3 linked regions of the Arabidopsis thaliana genome follow. The protein of the gene in region 1 interacts with the protein of each later gene in a pairwise test. Each region holds a gene or a part of one and is shown in the gene's direction. Other genes may lie near its edges.

Region 1 (6,465 bases):
TGTTACTCTTAACTAAATAATCATTTATTCAATAACTAAAGGTCGGTTGGTCTTCAGGTACGAACGTTCTTCTATACTAACTTGTAAATTGTAAACGTAACAGATTGTGCAGTAGAGATTGCGGTTACAAATGTTTGACAACGATCACAAAAATTGTTTAACACCGCGTATTCTTCCGCCAACGTTTGCGGCAGCGGGTGGTTAAAAATTACACTATTTTTAAGTTTTAAATTCAAATAAATTTAATAACTTTTTTGACTCTTGGAGTCATGCTCTGAACACAAATGATTCATTTTCCGGAGAACATAAGTGCATTGTATCCGTCTAATCGTCCCAACATACTTCACTATAAATGTAATTTAATACTAACAATTAAATTGAAGTGTTGTTCGTCGCATGCATGTATGTACGTACAATAATTATATAGTTTCATTATCATAGAACTGTCGGGGAAATTGTGAATCATCACCAGCCGCCACATGAACTTATTTGCCGTTGTTCTGGTTTAAGGCTGGTAAGATTTATTCGGCGGCTGTAGGCCTGTAGCCCTTGAAATATGGTAGACAAGATCGTCCATATAATTAAGATTTTGTTTTTCACTTCTAAATTAATTAATGGGTGACTTGGGCGATTTTGTATTGTTGTTTAGTGGCTAGAAAGAAAACTTTTAACGATAAATTTACTTATGCAAAAATTATATTAGTTTAGTTTAGCAACTTTATATGTACTTAATTAGTAAAATAATACATTTAAATGTAAACTATTTGTACATATTAATGTTGTCCAAACAATATGCACTTTTTGAATTTTTTTACTGTATTCTCCACCTAGTTTTTCTAATTCATCCAAGCATTTTGATGAATTTGCATGTCTCCATAGATGAATTAGTATCTACTATCTCTAAAAACTCAATCTCCACCGAAGATATTGCTTAACCAATGTGCTCCTAGACCAAATCCAAAACCTTAGCCGCTTCATACTTAACATCCACTTTTGTAGCATCCTCAAACTGTTTTACAACCTTTTCAACCGGGACACAATCGCCTTGTCTTAGTAGTGAAGCGTAGGTTAATCATGGATGATGATTTTTGTTCTTTGACAACATCTGGTAAGGTTTTTGGTTTATGGCTCACCCTTTTTACTTTTTCGGTCTTTCTTATATAGTGTTTTGGTGGGTTTTTTCTCGTTCATTTTTCACGACCTTCTTATCCTATTACTAGGGTCATTAAATTGTTCGTTAGGTTAAAGAGATTTACAATATGAAACCGATTATGTCCATTAAAACGTGAATAAGACAGAAAAGAGCACCAAGAAAATGAAAAATAATTTAATGTATGTTCAGGAAATCCTATGAAAACATAATGATTGATCGGGTTTATTGGTTTTGTAGCTGGTGGTTTAAGTGGTTAGGGAAGCTATGTATTTATAATTTATTGATTCAATATGGTTTTGCATCTGAAATATATTTAAGCCCAACCAATAAATATACCATCACTCGCCAAGACCGTTTCTCAGTGGAAACATTTTGTGAGAAGTTCAAGTCGATGTTAATGATTGTAAGGATTTAACGGATGTGATGTTTTTGTAGGTTGAAGATTTAAAGTACTATATGATATGTTGTGTTTTTATCGATTTTGAATCTTTATTTTCTTTCCTAAATCAAAACTGCAATATATTTCCTAAGCTAGCAAAACCCATTCTAGATATAAGTAGAGTCCAGCTTGTAATGCAACTGCAAAGCAAAAATCAAGATATTTCGATACAAGGACTTGATGTCATAAAATTCCAAATTTGTTTTGTCTTGCCACACTTAGTAATTCTCTTCCAATAATGGTTAACTTAATAGTATATAAAATAAAAATGCATATAGGTTCCGTAATTAATCTTCTTTATCGTCACGAGAGGCACATCTTTTTTCAACATTTGACCACTCTCTCTCTCTCTCTCTCAGGACCTTTCGGCGTAATTTCGTCTTCCCCTTTGCTTAACATTTTCTTTCTTTCTTTTTGACCAAATATTAAAAATATATCCATTTTTATTTTATTTTTAATTAAATTCATAATTTGCATTTTATGTATTTATAATAAAAAGGAGAGAATAAATCCAAAAGAGTGAAGCAAAAACATTAAAGCGGAAAGAAAGTGGTAAAACAATAATAGAAACAGGAGAAGCAGAAGTACTACTTCTTCTTCTTCTGCTCTCTTCTCAGACCTTGTTTTGTACTTTCTTCTTCTTCTTCTTCTTCTTGTTTGCGAACTCCGATATCTTCTTCACTACCTTTGACTCCATTTCTTTTTCTTCTTCAGGTGAATTCTACTTTACTTTTCTTCTTACCCCAAATTTACTCTTTTGGGTTTTATGAAAGTTTTGTTTTTTATTACTCAGATCTTGTCCTAGTTCTCCTCCTTGTTCTGTTGTTTTTCTGTTTCGTTTCGAATTGGTTTTGTTTTTCAAGTTTAGGGTTTTGTAGATCAGTTCGTCGTTACTGTAGATTGGAAATGAAAATTATGATTCTTTGGATCTGATTATAGCAGTTCAAGTGTGAACTCTATCTATTACTTGATTTGCTATCTCACAGTTTTTGAATTTCTTAATGGTGTTAGCTACTCGACTTTTAGAGCTCATTTTCTTAACTACTGAACTTGTTTCATTTGAGAGGTACTAATCCAGTATATATTATAAAGTTTAATGCTTTTTCTTACTTGCATTCTTTGAACATGTTTGCTATTTTGGTGAGTGAAACTTTATGTATATTTATGAATTTTGAGCTAAAGTATTGATTGTTTCATAAGTAGGTGTAGGCATTGTCTTGTTATGAGAAGCAACTGTAGCTGGAAGCTCAAGTATTTGTTTTTAGCTGTGGAGCTTGAATCTTGATAGTTTTCGACTTCTATGTTATTACCTGTGGGGATATAGAAACAATCATGGGCTTACTCTGCAGTAGAAGTCGACATCATACTGAAGATACTGATGAGAATACACAGGTTGACTTAAGAGCTCTTGTAACACTCGATGTATGGGAGCATTATTTCTGATACTTCAAGAGTTAACTTGGTTTGTATTAATCTACAGGCTGCTGAAATCGAAAGACGGATAGAGCAAGAAGCAAAGGCTGAAAAGCATATTCGGAAGCTTTTGCTACTTGGTATGTAGACCTTGGATTAGAAATGTGAATGGCATGCCTTGATGAATCTTTTGGTAATAGTTTTCCTCTAATTTTCTGACTTGTGTTTTGTAAAGGTGCTGGGGAATCTGGAAAATCTACAATTTTTAAGCAGGCAAGTCCACAAGGAAAATTGATTGTACTCTTTACTTAAATTTACTTATGAATCCTGCTAATTGAATGATACAAATTTACTAATTTGCAGATAAAACTTCTATTCCAAACGGGATTTGATGAAGGAGAACTAAAGAGCTATGTTCCAGTCATTCATGCCAATGTCTATCAGACTATAAAAGTATGCAATACTTGAAATGACTGTGTCGGTTTTATCCTTCTAATTGGCGGTGTTTTCGAGTTCTTTTGGATTTACAATCTAGAGAATCATTTATATGAGTAATCAAATTTTTTTCATATGTTGATCTTGGTATATTGTACATGTAGCTTAATAGCTACTCTATATTGTTGAACAGTTATTGCATGATGGAACAAAGGAGTTTGCTCAAAATGAAACAGATTCTGCTAAATATATGTTATCTTCTGAAAGTATTGTAAGTGGTTAGATTCATAGGTCACTTGAGCTGTCTTTGTTAGAGTTTTGAGTCTTGTGAGTACCTTGTCTTATGGTAGTCAACTTATTATCGTAATATCAGGCAATTGGGGAGAAACTATCTGAGATTGGTGGTAGGTTAGACTATCCACGTCTTACCAAGGACATCGCTGAGGGAATAGAAACACTATGGAAGGATCCTGCAATTCAGGTGTGTTTGTGTGTGTGTGTGCACGTTTTATTTACTATTGCACTCAAAGTTGAATACATGATTTAAACGTTTCATTTTGTAGGAAACTTGTGCTCGTGGTAATGAGCTTCAGGTTCCTGATTGTACGAAATATCTGATGGAGAACTTGAAGAGACTATCAGATATAAATTATATTCCAACTAAGGTATAACCAAAGTATCATTCTTTGTTGAAAACATTTCAAGTAATGATCTTAAAATGGTTGAATAAAACTCATTGGATCAGCCTCGGAGGATCAATGTATTAACAAACAGAAGCCTTTTGCTTTCCATATTAGCCTAGTTGAGCTAGCATTTTCAGAGACCAGAGTCAATATGCAATTTCTGTGACATGTGTCTTCCGGAATGTGTTGTCATTGGTGCATTTTTTCTATGTTGGTGTTTCAGGAGGATGTACTTTATGCAAGAGTTCGCACAACTGGTGTCGTGGAAATACAGTTCAGGTACCAACTACTTTTTGTTTTACCCTTTTTCCTGTTTGATTGTTAGTCTTTCATAGATGAGTAATTGTTTGATAAGCTCTAAGTGTTAGTCTGGTTCACTAGGCAATATGATTAGCTAGGCGGTTTGTAGTAGCTGTGTTAACAGCTCAGCAACAATCTTGTTAATGTAGTCTCTCTGCGATGTGTAAGTTATTTGGTGAAATGAATAAAAGTGTTTACGGATTCGATTCCTATGATTGCCACTAAGATGTACTAATAGAACATATGAATTCCATACCAATATCAAACTTGTTGTTGTGGTGAATCTACTTGTAATGATCCGTTACCAAAGATGAATTCACAAATGGTATATGAGATAAAGCTTCGTTTATGCAGCCCTGTGGGAGAGAATAAAAAAAGTGGTGAAGTGTACCGATTGTTTGACGTGGGTGGACAGAGAAATGAGAGGAGGAAATGGATTCATCTGTTTGAAGGTGTAACAGCTGTGATATTTTGTGCTGCCATCAGCGAGTAAGCTCACTTCATTATAAATTATAAGATATCCTCGTACTGTCCACATATTGCCAAAACATTAACTGAGTTTTGATCATAGGTACGACCAAACGCTCTTTGAGGACGAGCAGAAAAACAGGATGATGGAGACCAAGGAATTATTCGACTGGGTCCTGAAACAACCCTGTTTTGAGGTTTTTAGTTACATTTTTATCTCATCTTTTAAAAATTTAAAGACACTCTTGAGATGGGTTTGGTTACAAAAACTTGGTTCTCTTTACGCAGAAAACATCCTTCATGCTGTTCTTGAACAAGTTCGACATATTTGAGAAGAAAGTTCTTGACGTAAGAAGAACTAAAGCATATTTATTTGTTTTGATAGGCAAGCAAGTCTTTTTGTTCAATAACGCTTTCTTATTCAATGTGCATAGGTTCCGTTGAACGTTTGCGAGTGGTTCAGAGATTACCAACCAGTTTCAAGTGGGAAACAAGAGATTGAGCATGCATACGAGTAAGCTTGTCTCCAAACTTTACTGATTCCCGCCAAACTGTTACCGTTATATGACCTTATTTTTAATTTGGATTCAGGTTTGTGAAGAAGAAGTTTGAGGAGTTATATTACCAGAACACGGCGCCGGATAGAGTGGACAGGGTATTCAAAATCTACAGGACGACGGCTTTGGACCAGAAGCTTGTAAAGAAAACGTTCAAGCTCGTAGATGAGACACTAAGAAGGAGAAATTTACTGGAGGCTGGCCTTTTATGACCTTATTATTACATATCTCTAGTAAATTACCTCTCCTTATTATTATAAGAAAAACTCGAAAACTGAATGACCGTGTAATTTATCTTTCGGGACAAAAGACTTAGCGATTCAAAATCTAATGTGTCTCGATGGCTACGACTAGTTTCTATTTTATCATTGTTTTTGTTAACATTCCTCTGTCTTTGACTTCTTATTTTTTTTTCTCATCAAAAACATCTCATTTTGATCTTGTTTTTGGGGTTATATTATTATTAAAATGAGGCATCCACATCCCGAAATCTAGAAAGTGAAACACAACACAAAACGTAACTTTATCAGTACTAAAAAGTTTTGGAATGTTCCTAACATGAAAAAGTTCTTACATTAAAAAAAAGTATGGGGGTGAAACTGAACAAATACAAAATATGATGTAAAAACTGAAATAAAAGTAAAACACATGGGGTCTACCGTGATTTCAGAACATTCGAAAAAGCGACTTTAAAAATAATTGCACCGAAGAAAGAAGAACCCTGAAAGCAAAAAACTCTTCGCCGTTGTTGTTTCTTACGTCAAAGAATATTCCTTCTTCTCTTTCGTTAATAGATCCCAAAAAAAAAAAAAAGCTTCATTGATTCTTCTTCCTCTGTTTTTGATTCCGTTTTCGAGCAATCCTCTGAAACATGTATGTTGTTGTTCTCTCTTTCTTCCAATGGTGTTCTGATTTTGCTTTTTCTGTTATACGATAATGATAACAATCGCTTCTTAGTTTGATTAATACGAAACTCTCAAAGATCACGAAATTGGTTTTGTTAGGGAACCATTTAGA
Region 2 (4,158 bases), on another chromosome or scaffold:
AGTTCTAAGATTCATTTGGTTATATCTTTTGCTTGCAAATAAGAGATTAATCAATGATACCTGGTTTGGAGATACGTATAACGGGTTCTCATAAAGAGTAGGACCTCCAAAGCTGCCCGCGAATATCTTGATTGGATTCAGACAAAACCTTGGACCAACCTGTTGTCAATAGTGTATCCATTTCAATCAAAAACCATGGTCGAAAGACTATTATTAAAAGTTTGTAACTCTTTGTCCACAAACCTCGATAAGGGTCATTTTATCCAGGCCACCTTTTGCAATTTTATCTGACTCATTGTGAGGAACCGAAATCTGGTAATTTCGGAACCATATATGCTCATCAACAATTGAAAAGACAAATACATGGTCATGGTAAGGCTTAGATTTCCTGTGTTCCTTAGGAATTCCGAAGACCTGAGAGATAAACAAAACAAAACTAATTAGGATGTGAAAGTCTTGAGAACTAATGGACCAAAAACATTATCCAAGGATATGAATCTGGCAACAACCTGAGTAAGCATCTCCTTCAAGAGTTTCCAGTGCGCATCTTTATCAAAATTGGATGAGAATGTCAAAAGTGGACGTGACCCTTTGAGATGATTTCCAGTGAGTTTCATCTCTTCCATTGCGTGCACTTCAATATACAGAGAACAAAAGTAAAAATCCTTTTACCAAAAAATACATAGTTACAGAAACAGAACTCAGATATAGAACAAGACACAAGCTGATTGAACCCATCATAGCTAAATACGTGACTAGATCTATCAGCTCTTGCCACTTAAACTAAAGTCAGAGGATCTCGACTCTTACCAGCTTTAACCAAAAACTTCACAGATGGTCCATTAGGGGATTTGACCATCCACATGTAAAGATCTTTATGTTTCCTACACTGAAAATGGAAACATAAACAAATACAAATCAACCAATACATTCAGAGATTGTACATTTACATCAATATGCATATATTAAGCTTCCACAACAAACCAAACCCTAACAATTTGGGATAACTATCAAATTTTGATGACATGGAACAAATACTAAATACCAATAGAGTCAAAGATTGTCCATTTGCATCAATATGCATATACATAAGCTTCCATCGAGTATTCTAATCACAAGTTTCTGAGGTTTGACTTTTGAGTCAAACATTCCACAGTAAAGGAACAAATCTGACTACATGGAACAAAAACTAAGCCTAGAAATAAGTAAGATGGAAACTTTACCTCGAAGAACAAGCAGGAATTAGAATTCTTAAGCTCAATGAGCTCATTCAAAGTCGCGCCTTTGCTACTCTTTGCTTCAACTTTACTGTCTTTCTTACAGTGTGGTAGAAGTGAAACAATGTTCAACATCAAACTCCGATACCTTCACACAAAAATCCCCAATAAACAAATCAATTTCAAACCCTAAAAACGAAATCAAAACCAAAAGAAAGGAAACAAATTTAGCAATTTAAACTCAACCTGAAACTGATACGACGAGAACAAGTCACCAAAACCTTCTCTTTGTTCTTGAATCCAGATGAAGTCAAAGCTTTAGCTTTCTCAGCTTCACCTTCACTCTTATCTTTCCATCCCAATAGAGTCCTTTTGGGTCTATCCGGAGCAGGCTCATCGCTCTTTTTCACCGGCGCCGGAGCTTCCGTCTCACTGTGCTTCCGCTTCCTCCCCATTTTTTTGTTTTTCCGCGTAGAGACGTTTTCTCTAGGGTTTTAGCAAGTGTTTTAAGGTCAGAGACGAAACAGAGAGAAAAAATCATGGGCCGGTCATTATTGGGCTTAACTTAAGGCCCATTAATAATGGTAACGATGTGTCACTTCGTCACTTCGTCGTTAGTCTCTGTTCTTCGCGGTCCTCTGCAGCAACCGCTGAGAGAAAGAGAGATATGGGAGAACGGTTTTTCCGAAATGAGATGCCGGAGTTTGTACCGGAAGATTTATCCGGAGAAGAAGAAACTGTTACCGAATGTAAAGATTCGTTGACGAAACTGCTATCACTTCCGTACAAATCATTCTCAGAGAAGCTTCACAGATATGCTCTAAGCATCAAAGATAAAGTAACTCACTTTTCAATTTGATTATATATGATTTTGAGTTATAATGAAGTTATGTAGTTATAATGAATTTATGACTTTTCTTTAGTCTAGTGAAGTTGTGTTTTCTCTTGTTTGTGTGGTGATTCTGTTTTAGGTAGTCTGGGAGACATGGGAACGATCTGGAAAACGTGTTCGAGATTATAACTTGTATACTGGAGTTCTTGGGACAGCTTATCTCTTGTTCAAATCTTATCAGGTTACTAGAAATGAAGATGATCTTAAGCTATGCTTAGAGAATGTTGAAGCTTGTGATGTAGCTTCAAGAGATTCTGAGTAAGTGAATTTTCTTCAATGATCCAATTTTCATGAATTCATTTCGGGGTAATGATTGTGGTTTCTATCAGGCGAGTGACATTTATATGTGGCTATGCTGGTGTATGTGCTCTTGGTGCTGTTGCAGCGAAGTGTTTAGGTGATGACCAGTTATATGATCGTTACTTAGCCCGTTTCCGAGGGGTAATTACTAATTACAGTTTCTTTTGCTCTAGTGAAAATAGATAACTTGTTCTATACTTTGCTTGAGTGTTGCAACTTTGATCTGTTTAACAGATTAGGCTTCCTAGTGACTTGCCATATGAGTTGCTATATGGTAGAGCAGGATACTTGTGGGCGTGTTTGTTCTTGAATAAGCATATTGGTCAGGAGAGTATATCATCTGAACGAATGGTATAATAAAGTTATAAAATTTCTTTGGTTAATTGACTTACTCAAGAAAGTTCAAGATTTTATGATATCTCTATATCTTCAGAGATCAGTGGTTGAGGAAATCTTCAGGGCAGGAAGACAACTCGGGAATAAAGGAACTTGTCCATTGATGTATGAGTGGCACGGGAAGAGGTACTGGGGGGCTGCACACGGTTTAGCTGGGATCATGAATGTTTTGATGCATACGGAACTTGAACCAGATGAAATCAAAGATGTCAAAGGTACACTAAGCTATATGATACAAAACCGTTTTCCTAGCGGGAATTACCTATCTAGTGAAGGAAGCAAATCAGATCGCCTTGTTCACTGGTGTCACGGTGCTCCTGGTGTTGCTCTCACACTTGTAAAGGCAGCTCAGGTAATCATTTGTTGATTGAAGTACTCTTATCAGTAAGTAAAACCACAATGCAAAACTCATTTTCTGGATATCGTCAGGTTTATAACACTAAGGAATTTGTAGAGGCAGCAATGGAGGCAGGAGAAGTTGTGTGGAGCCGTGGATTGCTTAAACGAGTAGGAATCTGTCACGGTATCAGCGGAAACACATACGTGTTTCTTTCTCTATACCGGTTAACAAGAAACCCAAAGTATTTGTACCGCGCTAAAGCTTTCGCGTCTTTCCTACTCGATAAATCAGAGAAGTTAATCTCAGAAGGTCAAATGCATGGAGGAGATAGACCCTTCTCTCTCTTTGAAGGTATCGGAGGAATGGCCTACATGTTACTCGACATGAATGATCCAACACAAGCTCTGTTTCCAGGTTATGAACTCTAAAATGTATAAAACTTACACTGTAACAATAAGCTTAGATACTGAAATGTAGAATAGCTGTCTATATTAATAAGATTTTATACATCACAAGAAAACAAAAAAAAACAATTGTGATACAAGCAAGAAGCAAAATGACTAACATCATCAAATTTTAATATCCTATTGATCAGTGAGTGGATAAATGGACAAACTCATTCAGGGTTTAGCTTTTCTTGTTCTGGATCTCACTACTCACTAGTAATGTGGGGTTTGGTAACCGTCTCGGGCACGAGAATAGGAGATGTAATAGAACTGAGAGACAATAGCAGTGAAGAGAGCAAAGGAAGCACCAGCAGCAAACACTCCTTTACGGATCACTTCACAGCTAGGAGGGTTTTCGATGTTCCACATCCTTCTGTACGTAGTGTGGTACGCGTTTCTGATTGATCCCGCGAGCAAACATACCTCAGCAATCAAGAAAAACACCCTGTTCAAAACCAAGTGTAGAATGATGTGTCAAGTCAAAGTCATAAATTATAGAGATTGTGTTAAGTATAGAGTTTTACCAGCAAATAAGGAAGAGCATAATGCCACAAGCTCTTGAACCAC
Region 3 (7,954 bases), on another chromosome or scaffold:
TAGGCACTTACTGTTTCACTTCTTGTGTCTGTAGAAAGCTTCACGTCCTCCACAGGATAGGACAATGGTAGTTGCTAGTCTTGCTGAGGTTGCTCAAGACATGGGTCTTCCAATCTCTTCCTATGTTGATGTACGTTTCCTCATCTGATGTTCTCTATGATTGGTGTTTGAGCCTTATTAAACCAACTATTGGGGGTAATTCTCTTGCAGAGATTAATGCCTTTGGTGCTCAAAGAGTTGGGGTCACCAGAAGCAACCAATAGAAGGAATGCAGCTTTCTGTGTTGGAGAGCTATGCAAAAACGGGGGTGAAACTGCTCTTAAGTATCCTTTTCGTGTTACATGCTTCAACTCTACTCTAGTCGTAAAGACTTTTATCCATTGATTTCTATGCTCATTCATCGTCCTTCTGTTTTGGAAGAATATGAGAATTGTCAGTCCATGCGATACTTGTCTCCCTTTGACTCAATACCAGATATTTTGGTGATGTGCTACGCGGAATTTCCCCACTTTTCGGGGATTCAGAACCAGACCTTGCTGTTAGGGATAATGCAGCAGGTGCTACCGCAAGGATGATTGTTGTTCATCCTCAACTAGTCCCGCTAAATCAAGTATGATCTAGGAGCTAGGCCATTTTCATGTATTTTTGCTTACTTCCTGAAACCTTATGAAACACGGTACTCATCCCTAAGTTATATAATCCAGGTACTTCCAGTGTTCTTAAGAGGTCTACCTCTAAAGGAAGATCAAGAGGAGTCCATGGCTGTTTACACCTGTATATATTCCCTTGTTTCGTCATCCAATCCACAGGTAGTTTTCTCAAGGCAATATTTTCACCTTTGGCTAAACATTACTAAGGTTAATTTGATAAAATTGTTTTGCTTGGATGCAAAATCAGATCTTCTCTCATGTTCCGGAGCTGGTTAAAATCTTTGGGCAAGTATTGGAGTCGCCAGTCGAAAAAGTTGAAGTGAAAGCAATTGTAGGCAGAACTTTCTCCCATCTAATCTCGGTTTATGGGAATCAGTTGCAGCCAATAATAAGTAGTCTACCGCCTTCTCAAGCTAACGTTCTCGCTGCGTTTGCATCCACGAGTTGATTGTCGCTTGTGATATATTTAATATCTCAGAAGCGAAAACTGTCTTCAGCTTTTGTTTTTCTTTTGAAGTCTATTCTTTGCTCAATTGAGTCTCAAATCTTGTTTTTTTTTCTTCTTCTTTCCTAAATATCCAATTTTAGCATTTGAGGGTAAGTGGGTGTATTCCTGTTTTGGCTTGGCTATATGTTCCTTACTTCAGAGTTTCGTCCTCATTGTTTATTTCATTTTCTCCACTTATTTATAGTCTTCAATTCAAAGTTTGCAAGCTTTGAGTGGATCAGTGGAGTATCTGTATTTGTATTTTGACATACAATATTTTATTTTGGCCTTGATAAAATTGAGTATACATAATTGCAAATGAGTACGTACGTTATCTTCTTTGCCATCGCAAAACGAGGGCATCAACTATTTTGCATGAGCCTTTCCTAGTTCAACTATTTTGGTCCATGCACACGGAATTTTCTTTGAAACCTGTCCTCGGAGACAAACAAAACTTGCAGCTTTAGCAAATAGCCTGCGTCGACGACAGCTTCTTCTTCTTCATGTTCGACGACGTCGTAGTCGTTGTCTTCTCCATTTCTTGTACTTGTTCTTTAGGGAAGGTGTTTTACTCTGGAAGATGGCGCAACAGATTAGGTTATATATTTGTTGGTCTTTCTGGGCCGTTGCGAAACGGCAAGAGTTTAATAGTTTTAGCTTTGTTAATGGGAAGTGGGAACTAAATCCTATTTGGCGGGAACGAGGCATGATTCGGGTGGTTGAACCGGAAATCAGTCGCGCAAAACTAAATAATAAATAATTGGTACGGAGATACGGTTTAGTGTGGTTTAATACAAAAACCAAATTTGGGATTCTGATGAAAAGCAAAGGAACCACCGTTCGTCGGCAAATTCAGTCGAATAGCGGAAGCTTGAGACTCTGATGAGAGTGTTGGGGTAGAGAGAAAGAGATCTGAGTTTTGTTTCCTTATTAGAGAGAGATGGGTTACGGATGGGGGATCTTCGAGGGAATGTTGGTGATTGGATCTCTGTGTCTCTTAGGATCGGCTGGTCTATGGTTTCTCAACCGGAGGCTTTACAAAGAGTACGAAGAGAAGCGAGCTTTGGTTCAAATCATTTTCAGCGTCGTCTTCGCCTTCTCTTGCAACCTTTTACAGCTTGTTCTCTTCGAAATCATCCCTGTTTTATCTAGAGAGTAAGCTTTCAAATTCGAGTAGCAAGTTTTGGTTTATAGATGGAATTTGTCATTTTACATAATATGAAAGTGTTGTGAATACAGTCATTGAGCTTCGGGAATTGCATCATTTTGATTTTAGACACCAATAATTTCTTTTTATCATGACACCATTAGTACTTTCTATTGAGGTTTATCTTTGTTTGCAGGGCAAGGATGGTAAACTGGAAGGTGGATCTCTTTTGTTTGATAGTGCTCCTTGTTTTCATGTTACCTTATTATCATTGCTATTTGATGCTTCGTAACACTGGTAAGCCTTTTCCTTGCTATCGATGTTCTTCATCTTTCCTTTTCTTTTCAGGCTTCCTAGGAATTATTAAAATGGTTTGTATGTTATATGATGGACGATCTATTGCTTTATCAATTTATCTTTTAGAAATAGTATGAGGCCTGATAATTGACATTCTGTTACATTTTGGGATTAAATTTATTTGCTGATGAATATGTATAAGCAATTTTTCATTGCCTTATGGCGTTAATCCTTCCTTCTTTCGTTTTTTTGATTAAACATCGTAGCACCACATGTTACAGAAATTTGATTTGGCTGTTGTTAATTTTTATATTTACCTAAAACCATCATTTCAGGTGTAAGAAGAGAGCGTGCTGCTGTTGGGGCCTTGTTATTCTTGACAGCGTTCCTTTATGCTTTCTGGCGCATGGGAATACATTTTCCTATGCCTTCAGACAAAGGTACCTCTTGAGTTTATGCACCCTCTTTCTCCTTTCAACTCTGTATAAGCAAGAAGGAAGTTGAAGTTGAAGTTAGATCTTATTAACATTATTATGAACAATGTGTACTTCTGGATGTGTGGAGTAGGGTATGTTGTTTTAAATTGAAATGAGAATCTGAGCATGTTGACACTGACTATGATTGCCTGACTGTAGAAAATACCGTCAGAAGAAATTCGCAGGGTCAATCATCCTCCCTTCTTTATGCTTGTGACAGTAGCTTTTGTATATACAAACGCTTTTGGTTCTTTTTATTTTAAATGCTTAAGATCTTGTCACCCACTTGTTGGACTACTTTACTTAAACACCCTTTTATCTTGAAAGGTTTCTTTTCAATGCCTCAGCTGGTCAGCAGAATCGGGGTCATTGGTGTGACCCTCATGGCCGTCTTATCGGGTTTTGGAGCTGTAAATTTGCCCTACAGTTATATATCGCTCTTTATTAGGTACTTCCCTCTATAATTGCTAGTAGATTTTCTTCTTCTACCTTGTGCGTTATTCTTATTGCAAATGGTTTTGAGGATTTTGATTCGAAGTAGTTGAACTCTGAATGAAGCTTTTCATCTTCTGTGATGTAAATGGATCTACACTGATAGAAGAGCAGCTGGATTGGGAAATTTGTGATCTAACTGCACGTTTTCCTGTCTCTCTTTCTCTCTGGAAACATATAGGGAGATTGAAGAATCAGAAATAAAATCGCTGGAAAGGCAACTGATGCAATCAATGGAGACTTGCATAGCTAAGAAGAAGAAAATTCTTTTATGTCAAGTTGAGGTGGAACGAAGTCTAGTATCAGAAGAGGTATGATTCTGTCTTATATATTAGCGTACGCAATACGTGATTGTACCTTAGATTTTTATACTCTTTAACATTCTGTATTGGGTTAGGATTCGTATCAGATCTGTTTATTTCTGTACTTCTGTATCAAAATGCTCTTCAGACTCTGAAATGACCCCCTTTTTTTTCCTTTATCAAAATACTTCCTTATCCATGCATCAGTTTGAATGCCATAGACTGATAAGAGATATTTCGTAATTATGCTTTTTCTAATTCTGAAATTAGCTTAGGAAGTAATCATCTGGTGCTTTTGGCTTCCAGCATCAAAAGGGTAAATCTTTCTTTAGAAGATTTGTCGGGACTGTTGTGCGGTCGGTTCAAGATGACCAAAAGGAGCAAGGTCAGTTTATATAATTTAGTTTTAGACGCAGTTGTGCCTGCACAACATTATCTCTCTACGAGTGATCTTACATGTGCATTATCTTTGTCTCTCTTTTGTGAAATAAACCATCTGAATTGTCACCTTGTCTCTGTGAGCTGGAAAAATCTAGATGACTTGAAAGTATGTTGGTTTCTCATGAGCTCCTTACTCTATGTCTTGCTTGCCAGTTGTAAAGAGCAGAACGAAAAATAAAGTACAGACTACTCTGATTTTTTTTTATTATTTTCGCGTCATCAGGAAATCATCATCCACCGTTAGGAAAATGTTGAATATTGTAGTAGGAAACAGAGAACTAAGATTCTTAAGAATGTAAAGCACGAGGATGGTTTGCTCATGTTTGGTGGTGTTGGCTAGAGTAGAAAGAGAATGAGGTTACAGTACTTTTACTATTTAGTTGTGGCGATGTACTAGTAGTTCAGTGGTTAAACCAACAACATGAAGAAAAAGAAGAATTGCAGAACAGTAGCTTTCTTACCAAAGAGGGGTACTTACATAAAAACTTTACGGTACAAATGAGACCTTTAATTTAGTAAAGAAGTATTCGAGTGACTTGAGATCAGTTCAGCTCGTCTATTGTTGGGATAATAAAGTTGTTGAGTTATTACAGTTTTCCCCCTGTTGCCAGATCATAGGTAGCATAGGACTACTTATTTTCCTTTTAACATTTTATGTGTGCATACACATAATAAGATGAGATCTAAGTTCTATACTTTCTAGTGATATCTCCCTAAATTCATGAATGTTTTTCTTATGCAGATATAAAACTAATGGAGGCAGAGGTGGAAGGTTTAGAAGAGCTGTCAAAGCAGCTATTCTTGGAAATTTATGAACTCCGCCAAGCAAAGGTTCCCTTCCAGTACTTTTCCGTTAATTTTTAATTTAAATACCGAATTTACTCATCAGCATGGCAATGACATCTTCGACTAAATTACTTATTACCTAGGTTATTACCTGGTGGTCTTGTTACGTAGTAATATAAACATTTGATAAGCACTTATCTTACTTCATTTCATTTGCAGGATGCTGCTGCTTTTTCTCGAACTTGGAAGGGTCATGTGCAGAACTTTCTTGGCTATGCGTGTTCCATTTACTGTGTGTATAAGATGTTAAAGGTTTGTTTTGTCTTTATGTGAGGTGCTAGCCTTTAGTAATTTTAACTCTATGTTATCCTAGCATTGCAAGACTATGTCAAACTCTTCCGCATGGATGTGACAATGGCAGTGTTAGTTTTTGTTATAGATTGATGCAGAGTTCAAAAATTAAGGAGTTTCTTTGTCTGAACTTCTTTACTTCTTTGAAAAGAGAGCTGTTCTGAGACCAGTAATGGTTTATTAGATGAAAATATCTCCTATATCTCTTGTCAAATGTTTTGTCTATTGTAAGTTTGTAACTGTGAACTAGTATTTCTAACTTCTCTATTTTTCGTTTGTCTTATCTGCAGTCTCTACAAAGTGTCGTTTTCAAGGAGGTATTCTCTTGTCCATGTTTTCTTATACACTTTACAATAAATTCTTGCAGCGTTATCATCATTTGTTTACTTTTTACGACATGGAATAGTGATTAGCTTGTTTACAGGCGGGCACGAAAGATCCTGTCACGATGATGATCAGCATATTCTTGCAGTTCTTTGATATAGGAGTAGATGCAGCATTGCTCTCACAGGTTTGTGTGACTTTGGATTTTTGTTGTATGGAGTAGTAGATTCAAAGAATTGCAAGCAGGCTTGTTAATATTCTTTCTCCTTACAACATATCGTCCAGATGAAAAGCTATAGGATTATTGTTTCTCAATTAATAACTCTAGTTTCATAGGGCCTTTGATGGGATGTGAATTTTCTCATTTCTTAGACCTTGTTACACTAGATGGCTTTTTATCTTGATGCTTATATGGTTCTCAACTTACCTTATGTAGGTCTGATGCTCTCTCTTTGTTTATTATTTTCAGTATATTTCCCTGTTATTTATTGGGATGTTGATCGTGATATCAGTGAGGGGATTCTTGACGAATCTGATGAAGGTGAGTTCTGATTTCAGCTTTTAAATTTCTCCCATTCGTCTTTATACGATCTTGTATGTTATCCACTTGTTTTGGAGCTATATAGTGTCAATGGAAAACTTGCTCTGGCATTATCATGTTTAAATATTAGACGGAGGCTTTCACTTCTTTTAGCTGGTGCTAACTTTCCTTGTGACAGTCACATAGTTACTTAAGCAAAGTATATATGATGTATATCCTAAGAGTGGAAGATGTAGAGTGATTGAATTAACGTATTTGTTGCAGTAGCATTACAGAACAACTCAATGTAATTTCAGTCTGATCATAAAAACAGAGGCTACTTTCTTGGTTGGCATTAGTATAGTGATTTTACATCTAAGTAATTGTAACTCGCAATATACTGAAAGCTTTTGTTTTGAATACTGTTAAACGTTTTGGTGATTGAATTGGGGAGTTTTTTTTCAATTCGCTTGTACAGTTCTTCTTTGCAGTGTCGAGGGTTGGAAGTGGATCTTCAAGCAATGTTGTGCTCTTCCTATCAGAAATCATGGGAATGTACTTTTTGTCTTCCATTCTTCTTATAAGAAAAAGCTTGAGAAATGAGTACAGGTACGTAAGATAATACTATAACAATAATTACAACCGTTCTTCTGTTGAAAAGATGAAATGTGGATTATAATCGAATGGTGTTTTTGTTGGCACAGAGGGATAATAACAGATGTATTAGGCGGAGATATTCAGTTTGATTTCTATCATCGATGGTTTGATGCAATATTCGTGGCTAGCGCTTTTCTTTCTCTGCTTCTGCTTTCTGCGCACTACACATCTCGTCAAATTGATAAGCACCCAATAGACTAAGCAAGCATCTGTGAGTTCCCTTGCAAATGAGGTGGTTGATTAAATTTTGATCTAGATGAAAAACTTGAAACAATGACCACTACTTAGCGTTGACTTATGTACATTTTCTTGCTTTGAAAGGATCAGTCTTGAGTTGTTGTTTTTTTTTCTTCCTCAGGTGTGTGTGATTAGTTGTAAAGAGAATGAGACTTTGGGGTTTTACCATTCAATAATATATATCTGATATAAAATTCAATAGATCTCTACCTTATTTATATGCATACATTATTTTTCATGCAGTACTTTAAGAAACACATACACACACAAAAAAGAAAGGAAAAGAAAAAGAAAAAGAGTAGTGGCCACAATGATTTAATGAGGCATTAACCGAAAATGACTGTTTTTTTTTTTTGGTTGATTCGGTGTGAGAGATTATTGTGGTAGAGAAGGAGTTGGTACGTGTGTTAGGTTCAATATCTGCTTCGGTTGATTATATGCATGTAATTGACTTCAATGTCACATTGTATCCAGTCCAAGGATTTTCAATTCCAAAATACATTCATAGAAAACAACGAAGATAAATCTAAAGAAATATATATATAGAATAATTTACAACTTCTTAGTGCAGTAGTAGTGCATAGGTTGAGAACAAATTTACATTCTCTAGGAATGAGATAACCTCTGTCATCTGATCACCAAGAGTCACTGCCGCCAATAAAGAGAAATGTATCCTTCGTTTTGTCGTAATCTTGATCCTATATTAATCTCATTTCTTAATCGTTACTTTTTATTTGTGAAATAGGTTAAATCAACTGTTACTTACATTATACAAAATCATGAAGGA

What was found. Proteins that work in one complex are often made in the same cells at the same time.
Region 2: the proteins of GP ALPHA 1 (region 1) and GPCR interact in binary tests that used the Arabidopsis thaliana proteins (3 or more experiments, as listed by UniProt).
Region 3: the proteins of GP ALPHA 1 (region 1) and GTG2 interact in a two-hybrid assay, tested with the Arabidopsis thaliana proteins (one study listed by BioGRID).

Annotation. Positions count from the first base shown.
Region 1 is NC_003071.7:11,195,163-11,201,627, forward strand, and holds GP ALPHA 1 (G protein alpha subunit 1), read left to right. Parts: upstream 1-1,833; 5' UTR 1,834-2,306; exon of another isoform or gene 2,307-2,658; intron 2,659-2,795; 5' UTR 2,796-2,924; coding exon 2,925-2,984; intron 2,985-3,072; coding exon 3,073-3,145; intron 3,146-3,240; coding exon 3,241-3,278; intron 3,279-3,368; coding exon 3,369-3,458; intron 3,459-3,633; coding exon 3,634-3,711; intron 3,712-3,813; coding exon 3,814-3,921; intron 3,922-4,003; coding exon 4,004-4,105; intron 4,106-4,346; coding exon 4,347-4,402; intron 4,403-4,777; coding exon 4,778-4,912; intron 4,913-4,994; coding exon 4,995-5,088; intron 5,089-5,179; coding exon 5,180-5,239; intron 5,240-5,325; coding exon 5,326-5,405; intron 5,406-5,482; coding exon 5,483-5,660; 3' UTR 5,661-5,940; downstream 5,941-6,465. UniProt on the Arabidopsis thaliana protein: Exhibits a fast rate of basal nucleotide exchange. Guanine nucleotide-binding proteins (G proteins) are involved as modulators or transducers in various transmembrane signaling systems.
Region 2 is NC_003070.9:19,708,775-19,712,932, reverse strand, and holds GPCR (G protein coupled receptor), read left to right. Parts: upstream 1-1,851; 5' UTR 1,852-1,884; coding exon 1,885-2,055; intron 2,056-2,188; coding exon 2,189-2,367; intron 2,368-2,438; coding exon 2,439-2,550; intron 2,551-2,643; coding exon 2,644-2,760; intron 2,761-2,842; coding exon 2,843-3,157; intron 3,158-3,234; coding exon 3,235-3,573; 3' UTR 3,574-3,658; downstream 3,659-4,158. Other genes in the region: AT1G52930 (Ribosomal RNA processing Brix domain protein), read right to left, coding at 61-159, 244-414, 510-634, 811-889, 1,224-1,365, 1,464-1,672; AT1G52910 (fiber (DUF1218)), read right to left, coding at 3,805-4,036, 4,116-4,158. UniProt on the Arabidopsis thaliana protein: May play a role in abscisic acid (ABA) signaling.
Region 3 is NC_003075.7:13,791,157-13,799,110, reverse strand, and holds GTG2 (GPCR-type G protein 2), read left to right. Parts: upstream 1-1,954; 5' UTR 1,955-2,077; coding exon 2,078-2,292; intron 2,293-2,480; coding exon 2,481-2,581; intron 2,582-2,916; coding exon 2,917-3,021; exon of another isoform or gene 3,022-3,320; coding exon of another isoform or gene 3,321-3,384; coding exon 3,385-3,505; intron 3,506-3,730; coding exon 3,731-3,860; intron 3,861-4,157; coding exon 4,158-4,236; intron 4,237-4,838; coding exon 4,839-4,910; intron 4,911-5,034; coding exon 5,035-5,123; intron 5,124-5,297; coding exon 5,298-5,390; intron 5,391-5,719; coding exon 5,720-5,746; intron 5,747-5,853; coding exon 5,854-5,940; intron 5,941-6,222; coding exon 6,223-6,294; coding exon of another isoform or gene 6,295-6,318; exon of another isoform or gene 6,319-6,565; intron 6,566-6,751; coding exon 6,752-6,882; intron 6,883-6,977; coding exon 6,978-7,131; 3' UTR 7,132-7,141; exon of another isoform or gene 7,142-7,288; 3' UTR 7,289-7,469; downstream 7,470-7,954. Other genes in the region: AT4G27640 (ARM repeat superfamily protein), read left to right, coding at 35-130, 211-323, 475-610, 705-809, 898-1,098. UniProt on the Arabidopsis thaliana protein: Abscisic acid receptor. The GDP-bound form exhibits greater abscisic acid binding than the GTP-bound form. Required for seedling growth and fertility.